3 linked regions of the Arabidopsis thaliana genome follow. The protein of the gene in region 1 interacts with the protein of each later gene in a pairwise test. Each region holds a gene or a part of one and is shown in the gene's direction. Other genes may lie near its edges.

What was found.
Region 2: the proteins of BAK1 (region 1) and GG1 interact in a two-hybrid assay, tested with the Arabidopsis thaliana proteins (one study listed by BioGRID).
Region 3: the proteins of BAK1 (region 1) and CNGC17 interact in a two-hybrid assay, tested with the Arabidopsis thaliana proteins (one study listed by BioGRID).

What each region holds. Positions count from the first base shown.
Region 1 is NC_003075.7:16,088,996-16,092,748, reverse strand, and holds the start of BAK1 (BRI1-associated receptor kinase), read left to right. Parts: upstream 1-1,971; 5' UTR 1,972-2,460; coding exon 2,461-2,545; intron 2,546-2,814; coding exon 2,815-2,947; intron 2,948-3,029; coding exon 3,030-3,101; intron 3,102-3,270; coding exon 3,271-3,414; intron 3,415-3,541; coding exon 3,542-3,682; intron 3,683-3,753. Other genes in the region: AT4G33440 (Pectin lyase-like superfamily protein), read right to left, coding at 307-729.
Region 2 is NC_003074.8:23,415,178-23,418,930, forward strand, and holds the start of GG1 (Ggamma-subunit 1), read left to right. Parts: upstream 1-2,071; 5' UTR 2,072-2,085; coding exon 2,086-2,319; intron 2,320-2,830; coding exon 2,831-2,883; intron 2,884-3,023; coding exon 3,024-3,068; intron 3,069-3,143; coding exon 3,144-3,228; 3' UTR 3,229-3,753. Other genes in the region: AT3G63400 (Cyclophilin-like peptidyl-prolyl cis-trans isomerase family protein), read left to right, coding at 1-258; APG1 (S-adenosyl-L-methionine-dependent methyltransferases superfamily protein), read right to left, coding at 639-797, 874-1,180, 1,275-1,825. UniProt on the Arabidopsis thaliana protein: Guanine nucleotide-binding proteins (G proteins) are involved as a modulator or transducer in various transmembrane signaling systems.
Region 3 is NC_003075.7:14,856,388-14,860,140, reverse strand, and holds the start of CNGC17 (cyclic nucleotide-gated channel 17), read left to right. Parts: upstream 1-2,121; 5' UTR 2,122-2,361; coding exon 2,362-2,390; intron 2,391-2,601; coding exon 2,602-3,358; intron 3,359-3,442; coding exon 3,443-3,741; intron 3,742-3,753. Other genes in the region: AT4G30370 (RING/U-box superfamily protein), read left to right, coding at 868-1,398. UniProt on the Arabidopsis thaliana protein: Probable cyclic nucleotide-gated ion channel. Forms a functional cation-translocating unit with AHAs that is activated by PSKR1/BAK1 and possibly other BAK1/RLK complexes. Required for PSK-induced protoplast expansion.

The sequences.
Region 1 (3,753 bases):
GATTTCGCACTACTAGAGACTATCCCCACTCAAAAATAACAGCTTTTTTGCTGTATCAAACAATGGTGGGTCCATTTTAACCACTGACCGTGATTAGCGAAATGAATATAGTGTTTACCAACAAAACTTTATGAACCCACAAATCAAAAAGCAATCACAAACCCAAATTTTGGATTCTCACAGAGCAATCAACAACTAATTGAATTCTCTTAATACTACTACTGTTCAGAACCAATCAACAACAAACAAAGCAAAAAAAAAGTAAACTTTATCAATGTGTTAAAGAATTCAAAACTTTGATATAACCTTGGATCCCAAAATGAGAGCGCCGCGTTCGAGAAAGAGCGTGAAATTGCTGGTGAGGTTGAAGCTTCCAGAAAGCCACGTGCCCTCCGGGACATTGAGCTGGGCCCCACCCTCCGCCGCAAAACCTTCAAGGTGCCTTACGGCGCGGCGGAAAGCGGCCGTGTTCGACGTCTTTCCGTCTCCAACACCGCCGAAATCGGTAATCGACATAACGATCCGGTTAGGGAACGGGTCGTGATTGAAAAACCCGGAGCAGGTAACAGGGTCGTCATATTGAGAAGTCGGGATCCAGAGAGGGAGAAAAGAATTGGAAGAGATTTGGAGAGAGAGAATCGCTAAGACGGTGAAAACAAGGAGAAGAAACGCCCACGAAGGTCTTGTAATGGCACTCAATACTGTGGTCGGATTCTTCTCCGGTTCCATTGTTTTTTGGAAACAGAGAGAAAACTCAAAAGCCCATGAAGCAAGCTCTGAGATAAAATTACAAACAGAAGAATGCTAAAGTGGGACTTTTAGATGGTTGGAGAGAATTATGCATGTGTGTGGCAATGATTAGCGTAGTGTGGTGGTGACAACAAACAAAGGTGGAGGAAGATAGAAAGTCGATAGATACCTTACCTCGAAAATTCGTCTCTCTCTTTGATTATTTTTGTATATATAAATAGAAAAAAGTAGTAGTAAATAAGAAAATTGGATACAGACACAGATATGTCGTGAAAAGGGCACTAAAATATTGGATGGTGCATGTGAATCGTCAAAAAGTGGCAAGGAGAAAGTGAAAGTCTTCACGAATTATATTTTGGTTTATATATAAAAGAAGAAGAAAGAAGAAGAAAGAAGAAGAAAGAAGATGGATGATACACAATCGGTCACGGACTCACGGGTAGGAAGGATTGTGAGGCGTTACAATCTCGTCAGACTTCCAAGTCTTAATCTGATGGGCCTTTAAATAGCCTACTGTACTGAGTTGTTTGTTGTGTTTTTGTTTTGTTTTTTAATGCCAAACTAAGGTATATGTCCGTATTTTATTGCTGGCAACATATACTCTGTCCGTTTGTGTTTTTTGTTTTTTATTTCATTTTTCCTCAAAATTACTTTTGTTCTTTTAAAAATATTAAATGGCATAAATAGTTAAACTATCAACCAGTAAATTATATATGATACAATAATGTTTTTTGTTTTGTTTAATTCATTGGACCAGATGGATTATTCAGCTTACATTTTTCAATATTGAATTGTAATTTTTTAGAGCTATAATCTTTAAAAAAGAATAAAAAAATCAAAAAAGCTTTTGCTCATCTTTGGAATAAACGAACTTGCTATTAAGACCAAGCCCAATAAACAATAAAAGCCCGAAAAAATAGAGCTGGGCCGGTAATTAGGATTATGATGATGGTATATAACTCACTATCAACTATCATGAGTTCATGACCATCATGGTTTATATCTAATGTCATATGATGGATGATGATAAGGTGGGCGAACATAACAAACATGATTCGGAATGAAGTCGTGCGTCTTTGACTTTGACTAGCTCTAAAAAAGCTTTGAAAATGCTCGTCCACGTCATCATCCTCTTTGTCGTTTTCTCAATCTTAAATGTCATTTTTTTAATATAGTTTTCACAGTACAACAACTCAACCCAGTAAAATCCCTTCTTTAAGCAAAGAAAATAATTAAAATTCGTCTTCCTTCCTTGCTCTCGGCGATAACTTGGTTTCTCTCCTCTCTCTCATCTCTCTTTGTTTCGACCCTTTTTTAGTATATTTCCAGGAAATATCTTCTTCCTCCTTTCGTTTTCTCTATCTCAGTTTTCTCTCTTCTCAGCATTAAGTAGTCAACGGTCAGCGATCTCGGCGTTCCTTCTAATCGGAAAAGTCTAGCTTCAGTTTCTTTTTTTTTTGCTTTTTTGGTTTCCGCGATTAATCGATTTGGGTATTTTGATTTTCTCTTCAAATTAAGTCAACGGGTGGATACGCGTTGAGAGGGCTTTTCTCGTATTCTGCTTCTAATTTCATCATCTTGGTATTACCTTGTGTGGGTGGTAGCTTAATCGAAGGATTCGAGATCCCTTTTATCAGGGGTTTTAACAATGATGGATTTTCTCTGATGAGGGATAGTTCTAGGGTTTGTTTTTAATCTCTTGAGGATAAAATGGAACGAAGATTAATGATCCCTTGCTTCTTTTGGTTGATTCTCGTTTTGGATTTGGTTCTCAGAGTCTCGGGCAACGCCGAAGGTTTCCCCTTTCTCTCTCATTCTCTTTCAATTTTTCATTCTTTCCAATTAAATTAGTTTCCCTTGTTGAGTATTTTGATTAGTATAGGCTTATGAGAGCTTGTTCTCACCTAAAGAAGGCATTTTTAACTTATCTGTTACTTGTTTTGCTGTATTGACTTGAGTTATATTTGGGTTACATCTGTTTCGACTGATTCCAGTGATTATGTATCCTCGTGACACTTGATGATTGCAAAGTTTGATTTTTTCTTCTTCTTTGGTTAATTGTAGGTGATGCTCTAAGTGCACTGAAAAACAGTTTAGCCGACCCTAATAAGGTGCTTCAAAGTTGGGATGCTACTCTTGTTACTCCATGTACATGGTTTCATGTTACTTGCAATAGCGACAATAGTGTTACACGTGTGTAAGTTTCTTTCTATATCTAGCCAAGATGATTCGGATTTTCGCATCTACTGAGAATTTACTTGAACTTCATTTTTGCTCAGTGACCTTGGGAATGCAAATCTATCTGGACAGCTCGTAATGCAACTTGGTCAGCTTCCAAACTTGCAGTACTTGTAAGTCATCTTTTCTTTAAAAGGCCGTCTTTTAACTTTTGGTGTATGTGGGATGTTAAAAATGTTACAATGTTCCAAATAACTGCATAATTTTGCATTATCATAGATTATTAGTTATATATCTTTCCGATCTTATGGTGAAATTAATATTAAAGAATGGTAATGACAGGGAGCTTTATAGCAATAACATTACTGGGACAATCCCAGAACAGCTTGGAAATCTGACGGAATTGGTGAGCTTGGATCTTTACTTGAACAATTTAAGCGGGCCTATTCCATCAACTCTCGGCCGACTTAAGAAACTCCGTTTCTTGTATGCACCATATTCTACTCTCTTCTTTTAATACGTTTTTAATAAGCAGCCTAATTATTGTCTTTAGTTTCCTTGATCGTGTTTGTCTTCCTGTAAAAGCTATTCGTGCAACGTGTTACATTTGTAGGAGTCAGAAAGTAGTGTCGCCAAATAGATGCTACGTTATTTTACTAGATGAAAAGGTGTTCTCTTGGAGACTAGGATGTTGTATAATATGGTCTATTTTAATTATGAGCTTTCGTAAAAGGAATCAGAACTCTATCCTTGTGTTCGCTTAATTTTACTGGAACAACACAAAGTTCCGAATTCAGGTGACTGTCTTTTTGGTTGTTCTCGTGT
Region 2 (3,753 bases), on another chromosome or scaffold:
AGGAGAAGGAGCACTTCTCGGAGTCCAGATGGGTACCGTAGACGATTGAGAGACGGAAGCAGGAGCCAGAGTCCGAGGCATCGTAGCCGTAGCCAGAGCCCTAGAAAGAGGCAGCCAATTAGCCAAGACCTGAAATCCCGTCTCGGGCCACAGAGATCCCCCATCAGAGGAGGACGCACCTCTCCTGCAGAATCACTCAGCCCTTCTCACTCACCTTCTCCACCAGGAAAGAGAGGTCTGGTTAGCTATGCGGATTGATGGTCACTCTCATCCATTGGTTTCTCTGCTGACTTGCGAGTTTTTGTTTTAATTTCCGTGTTTTAGTGCAAGCAATAATAGGTAATGATATTTTTTATGTTGGTCGGATATATAATACTCTACCTTAGTTGCATTATTACAGATCGTGGAACATTGATCAAATTGAGACTGATATATGTTGGCAGAATTGAGTTTGGGAATCGAAGTTTGTAGAAAATTTATCGAACAAGTAGCATAGATATCTCAACATGAAAATCTAGTAATACATGTAAAGAAAGAAGGTTAATGATATTCCGCATGTTCATAGATAGGACTCGAATCTTTCTTTACCACAAGAGGGGTTTACAATGATACAATGATCATGTCCTAGAAGAGAAGGATCAGATGGGTTGGTCTTTGGGAACGATCTGATCCTTGATCCACATGTAGATAGGGATTAACACAAACCAGGCAGCTGCTAGAGTTCCCAGGAGGAAGCGTCCCAAGAAGGAGAAGGGGTTGTTGACAGGCTTCTCTACGTCCTCTTCCTTTGGACCAAGCTGCAGCATTTGAGTGATAAGTTTAGTGTATCAAAGAGAGAAGAAAGTAAAAAAGGTGAAGTGGGAGGTAAAAGACCTGGAGAGGAGAGTCACCGGAGGCAGGTTTAACACCAGTGACAGAACATCCCATGATAAGGCCGTGCCTGCGAACACCACGGTACCACTTGGGGCCAATCCTCTTGAGCTGAACGTCCTTGAAACCGGCATTCTTGAACCACTCAATGTACTCTTCCTCCTTGGGGAAGAGCATCCAGACATCAGAAAAGAAGCGAGAGAGCCAGAAGGTTGGGTAGACAGGGCCGATGAGACACGCTTTGCCACCGATCTTGAGAACCCTGTACGCTTCCCTTATTCCCCTCTGCGGGTCCGGCCAGTACTCAATGCTGTGTGATGATGAGACACACAATCAAACCCACCGGAAAGAAGACGATTATAAGAAGAAGAAGAAGAAGAAGAAGAAGAAGAAGAAAAGGATACCTTCCAGCAGAAACGTATCTGTCAGCATAATCGGTTGGAAAAGGAAGATCCTCAGCATCTCCCTCGACGATCTTGCATTCTTTCAACGGCTCCTTTTGCTTTGCTTTGGCCAGCTGATGTGGCGACTGGTCCAGAATGGTCACATTCTTGGCCTTCACTGTCTTGACTATGCCCAGAGTAGTGAAACCAGTTCCGCCGCCGACATCGACCACTCGCATGTCCGGATGGCTGAGATCCGCTGGCTCAAGAGCGTCGTCTCTCATATCCTCGGTCCAATGCCCAGGATTGATGACATGGTCGTATACGATGGATAAGAACCTGTAGAACCAGTAAGCCTCCTTCTTGTGCTGAATGAACCTAGGTTGCGCCGATGGCCGGGAAGACGACACGCTGCTGCTGCTGCATCTAGTAGCCACCGAGAGTCTAGGTGTGGAGGTTCGGGTAACTGAGAGTAAGGTCGGCCGAGGAATCGATCTGGCATGCAAATTGGAACCAGGGGAACCTAAACCTTTGGGGAAGGTAATGGCCCCGTTGAGCATCAAAGAGGCCATCGATGACAGATCCACCAAGTTGAGAAGAGGGAAGAAGAAGCTTATCTATCACCAATTCTCCGCCAATCAAAAACACAAACGAGAATGAGAGTGTGACTAAACCCTCTAACTCTAACAGAGTCAGTACTGACTCCAACCACATGTTTATGTACGGTCACGTTGTTTGTTGCGACAACACATATCCCTTTGTTGAGCCCATGGGCTCATTTGCAAGAATTGGCCCAAATAATAGTATTGGGCGTTTTGGCATTTTTCTGCAAATGGAAGGGAAAAGTCGATTTGAGTCAGAGAGAGAGAGACTTCGACGACAATTCAAACTTGTACGGACTAAGACCAGACTCTCTCTGACGTTGTCAGATCTGCGACCTGCTAGCGAGAGGATGCGAGAGGAAACTGTGGTTTACGAGCAGGAGGAGTCTGTTTCTCACGGCGGGGGCAAGCACAGGATCCTTGCAGAGCTTGCCCGCGTTGAACAGGAAGTCGCTTTCTTGGAGGTAGCTAAACTAACTCGTATCTCTTTCAAATTCCGACGTAGGTCTCTCGTGGATAGCTCAATTATCCTTTTTAGATCAATTGTTACAACAATTAGGTAAAGGTCGCTAAGATTGTTTCCTGTGAAAGCAAAAACCAGTATGGCAGATCTGTTCCAATCAGAAGAGCATGGTAGTTCTCTTGACAATAAGTGGCACCATTTCAGTCAGTCTTGTTTATGACTCTATGAATTGTATTCCCAAAATCTAAATCTGCTGGGTTCTCTTTGGATCCACTATTGGAATGGTTCTCTGTTGATCTTATTCTTAGGGATGTGCAAGAATACTTTTGATCATAGTCCAATTAGTATCATTCTCTCTTGGTTATCATCTATCGAGGCATGTTAAAAGTTAACCTTCTCCCAAGTTTCTCTGTTGCACAGATAATGTGTTTGCCTATTGTTCCTACTAGTGAGCTCTAACACTTACTAAAAATAGCTTTACTCTCTCTTTCTGTTTCATGTACTATATCCAGAAAGAGTTGAAGGAGGTCGAGAACACAGATATTGTATCAACCGTGTGTGAGGAGTAAGTATGGGATACTCAACCTATGTTTTTTTTTAACGCTTGCAAGCAACTGTGTGCTAGCTCCTGTAGGTATATTATCTGGATTTGACTGAAACTTGTACGTTGATTGGTGATCAAATTGATATTCCCTTGGTTCGCAGGCTGCTATCTGTCATCGAGAAAGGACCCGATCCTCTGTTGCCACTGTGAGTGCTTTTTAAACCTTGAAACTCTAGTGTTGGTTTGGACTGAATAACTGATGGATGTTGTGGTGCTGGCAGAACCAATGGACCTTTGAACTTAGGATGGGACCGGTGGTTTGAAGGACCAAATGGAGGAGAAGGCTGCAGATGCTTAATACTTTGATTCGCTAGACAGAGTAATGTGTTACATATACTAGTTTCTTGCTAGGATATCATTTTACATGGGATCCAAAATGGGGCTGTAGCAGAGAAAAAGCGTACAGATTAATGAGCATTGGAATTGCATAGAACGGCTTAGTTGCACCTACGTAAACAGTATTATATGTATATGTAATGTATGGGATCCGGATCTGACATACGAGTAATGGAGTTTCAGGCTTACAGCTTCTCATCTTCTTATTCTAGATCTTGTTGAAAGAAGCTGAAATGTGCATAGTGATATTTGGGGGCTAATAGAGTAATAGCTAATGAGGAAGTGGGTACAATCTTGAAGACCGTTAAGTGTGTCTCTCTTTTTTCTTTTTAGATAACTTTTGGCCACATCCACCCTCCATGATACACACACGCTAGTTTCGAGGATCAGAATACATACATACCTATGTTTATTATATAGATAGAACGATAATGGAACACAGAGCACATGCCTCATCTGTTGTCTTTTTATTATTACTTATTACTCTTCTCCTCC
Region 3 (3,753 bases), 1.2 Mb from region 1:
ACTCTCCTTTTATAGGTCCTAAATGTAGTGAAATCAATATTTATGGACTAGTACATATGGAACAGTTATGAGGCGAGCGTTAATGGGCCGAACGAGACGATAAGAGACATTATTCTAAACCAAGCTCAACCACGAAGATAACCGGATCATAACCGCAAAATGAACCGGAATAAAACGTGAGAAACAACGAGATAATATTAAAAATGATGCAAAGAATTTCTGAATGTAAAGGTAGGTATGGTGACATAAGGAATGGAGTTACCGAGGAAGCTGCCCTTGTCGGATTGTCCTTATCACTTCCCACTCGGCATTACCAGATAGGAAGCTCAGAGGACAGAGATAATAATTGGAACCCAAAACTGAACCCTATTTTATATAATCTCATCACCAATACTTTATCCTTAAATGAAGTCTGGTTTCGCCCTTTGTTTTCTCCTCTAGTTTTCTTGTAACGCCAAACTACATTCTGTATGATCAAAATTTAGTAACATAATTTATCAGAACCCCATTGTTTTAAAACGTGTCTGTGTATTTGTGTTTATATACGCTTAATCTTCTTCTTTCTAGTTAAATTTAATCAATTTAATGAAAAATTTGGTATATAAAAAAAAAGACTTTGCTCACGAGTTCCTCTCATAAGGGCCAAAACTAGTTAAAAAGTTATCGTCAAAAACTGATATAAAAAAGATGTCCGAATATTCCCGCATATAAATATCTATCAGACAAACTCTTTTGTACAATATACTTTGAATCCGATAAATTTTCGATCTTCAAAATCCATAAAAATCTCTCCTTTATTTAGCCCTAAAACAGAGTATTAGAGTTTGATTCGTAAAAGAGAATATTTTTAATCTCCGCCGCAAGTCGATGTCGATAACGATTCCCTACGATGGCTCAATCTCCCGCGAGCCATCACCGTCTCCACCGCCGCCAAAAGCGAACACGAAGAATCTACCGACGAAGATTCTCTCTAACTTCCTCATAGGTCTAATCATGATCCCTGTAGCTATAACCGCTTTTATCTTTATCCTCACGTCTCTCGGTTTCACCTTCTTCTTCGCTTTCTACTGGTTTCTTCAACGAAACTATCGCCACCGTCTCCGCCGCCATCGCCGTCACGAATACTCAGATGGGTTATCTCCAAGATGCGTGAAGAGGCTTCCTCAATTCAAGTATTGTGAGCCTAGTTCAGAGTACGGAGGCGATGATTGTGTTGTTTGTATCGATGGATTTAGACAAGGACAGTGGTGTCGGAAGCTGCCTCGATGTGGACATGTGTTTCACCGAAAGTGTGTGGACTTGTGGTTGATTAAAGTCTCGACTTGTCCGATTTGTAGGGATAGGGTTTATAGATTTGAAGAAGGAAGAAGATGGAGACCACAAGGTGAAATTTTTTGATCGGTGGTTTTATAATTAGATTTGAAAGTGTGTTTAGTTTGTTATCATATTTAGCAGCAATTTTGGTTTTCATCAATAGTCATGTACAGTGTCTTTTTTTTTTTTTTACACGGCTTCACAATTGAAAGCTTGTTTCTTCACCGTTTGATGAATTTGATCCAATAAGAGAATGATGGGTTTCTGTAGAATTTAACTTAGTTTGAGGTTTGATTATCATGCCAATTATTAAATTCAATCTAGTCAATTACTGATAGAAATGTTGTCCATTTGTCACTTTAAACATGTTGCTTATGTTACCTTAATGATTTCTCATAATTTCACTTGAGATTCAGTGGTTAATCATCAATGTTTCTGTTTCAATTTGTCCATGATGAAGTATAAGTTCTAAGTAAAGCTTGGTTCATGTGATTTTAATTTACCTACTTCACCTCCAAAGTTATGTCAACTATGTTTTCAAGTGTGTGATTCAAAAGTTTATATTGAACATAAAAATAAAGGAGGCTAAAGAATCGTTTTCTGATTGGAATGTGAGATTGTGACTCACACGGAGAAAGTGATTGTGATTGGATCTGACTATAAGACTAAAGAAGTGTTTTTGTGAAGTAACAAGTAACATTGTCTAATTAGTGTTTTGTATTGTAAACTAATAATGACTTTGATTAACGAAATAATGTCACTTTAGTCAAATGTGTTGACTTTCTTGTCTTATACCGATGGCTCAAGTATTCCCAAGAAAAAAAAACAAATATCCCTCCGATTTCTGACTCGTCCCGTGACTCAGTGATTCTCCTCTTCCAATCCTCTCCGGAAGAACTAAACAAAAACACGATCTTTCTCAGATTTAGAGAGAGTAAGAGTGAGAGAGTGTCAGAGACACGAATCAAAGAAATGATTTTTAAAAGCTTCTGTTAATTCTAATTTGCATAGATTTGTTTACTCGAGCTTGAGCTTGAGCTTCTTCTAATGGAGTTAAGGAAGGACAAGCTTCTTATGTAAGTTTTCTTTCTCTCATCCGTCGGTTAGACTTACGTTCCTGAAAGTCTTCAACTTTGATTGCCCAGAAATTAAAAATTCTAGACTTTGCTTTAGATTTATCTCTTCTTTAGATGTTACAAGCTCAAGCTCCGATTTTGGGTACTGGGTTTAACTTAAATCTCTAGTTAGGTTTCAGATTACAGATTTGAGTTGTGTATTGCTTTGTAGGTTTTACTCAGAGGGGAAAGAAAGCAAAGAAGCTAAATGGGCAGTGAATGATCCAATGAGCAAATCTTATAAGCTCTCTTTACCTTCAGCACTAAGACCTGATAATCTCTTACCTGGAAATAGACTTAGATACACTGATGCTTCTAAGTCCAAATCTTCTAAAGTCTCATGGTACAAGACTATTCTTGATCCAGGAAGTGAGATTGTCTTGAAATGGAATTGGGTCTTCATTGTCTCATGTATGGTTGCTCTCTTCATCGACCCGTTGTACTTCTTTGTCCCAGCTATAGGAGGAGATAAAAACTATCCTTGTGCAAGGACTGATACAAGTTTAAGCATCCTTGTTACTTTCTTCAGGACAATAGCGGATCTTTTCTACTTGCTGCACATTTTCATTAAGTTTAGGACTGGTTTCATTGCGCCTAATTCAAGTACTAGAGTGTTTGGTAGAGGTGAGCTTGTGATGGATCCTAAGGCTATTGCTTGGAGGTATATTAAATCTGACTTCATCATCGATCTCATTGCGACGTTACCACTTCCACAGATAGTTATCTGGTTTGTTATATCGACTACAAAAAGTTACCGGTTTGATCATAACAACAATGCTATTGCTTTGATTGTGCTCCTCCAATACATCCCAAGATTCTATTTGATAATTCCGTTAAGTTCTCAAATTGTTAAAGCAACTGGAGTTGTTACAAAGACTGCTTGGGCTGGAGCTGCTTATAATCTTTTGCTATACATGCTGGCTAGTCATGTATGAATCCCATTCCTTCTTCTTCCATTATTTCATTCCTTAAATGTGATGATAATCAAAGCTACAATGTTTTTGTTGGGACAGGTGCTTGGTGCAGCCTGGTATATATTATCGGTTGATAGATATACATCGTGCTGGAAATCAAGATGCAATGGTGAAGCTGGCCAAGTTAATTGTCAGCTATATTACTTAGACTGTGATTCAATGTATGACAATAATCAGATGACTTGGGCAAATGTCACAAAAGTGTTTAAACTCTGTGATGCACGGAATGGCGAGTTCAAGTATGGGATCTTTGGGAATGCAATCACGAAAAACGTTGTGTCTTCACAGTTCTTCGAGAGATATTTCTACTGTTTGTGGTGGGGATTGCAGCAGCTTAGGTAATGGCAGAG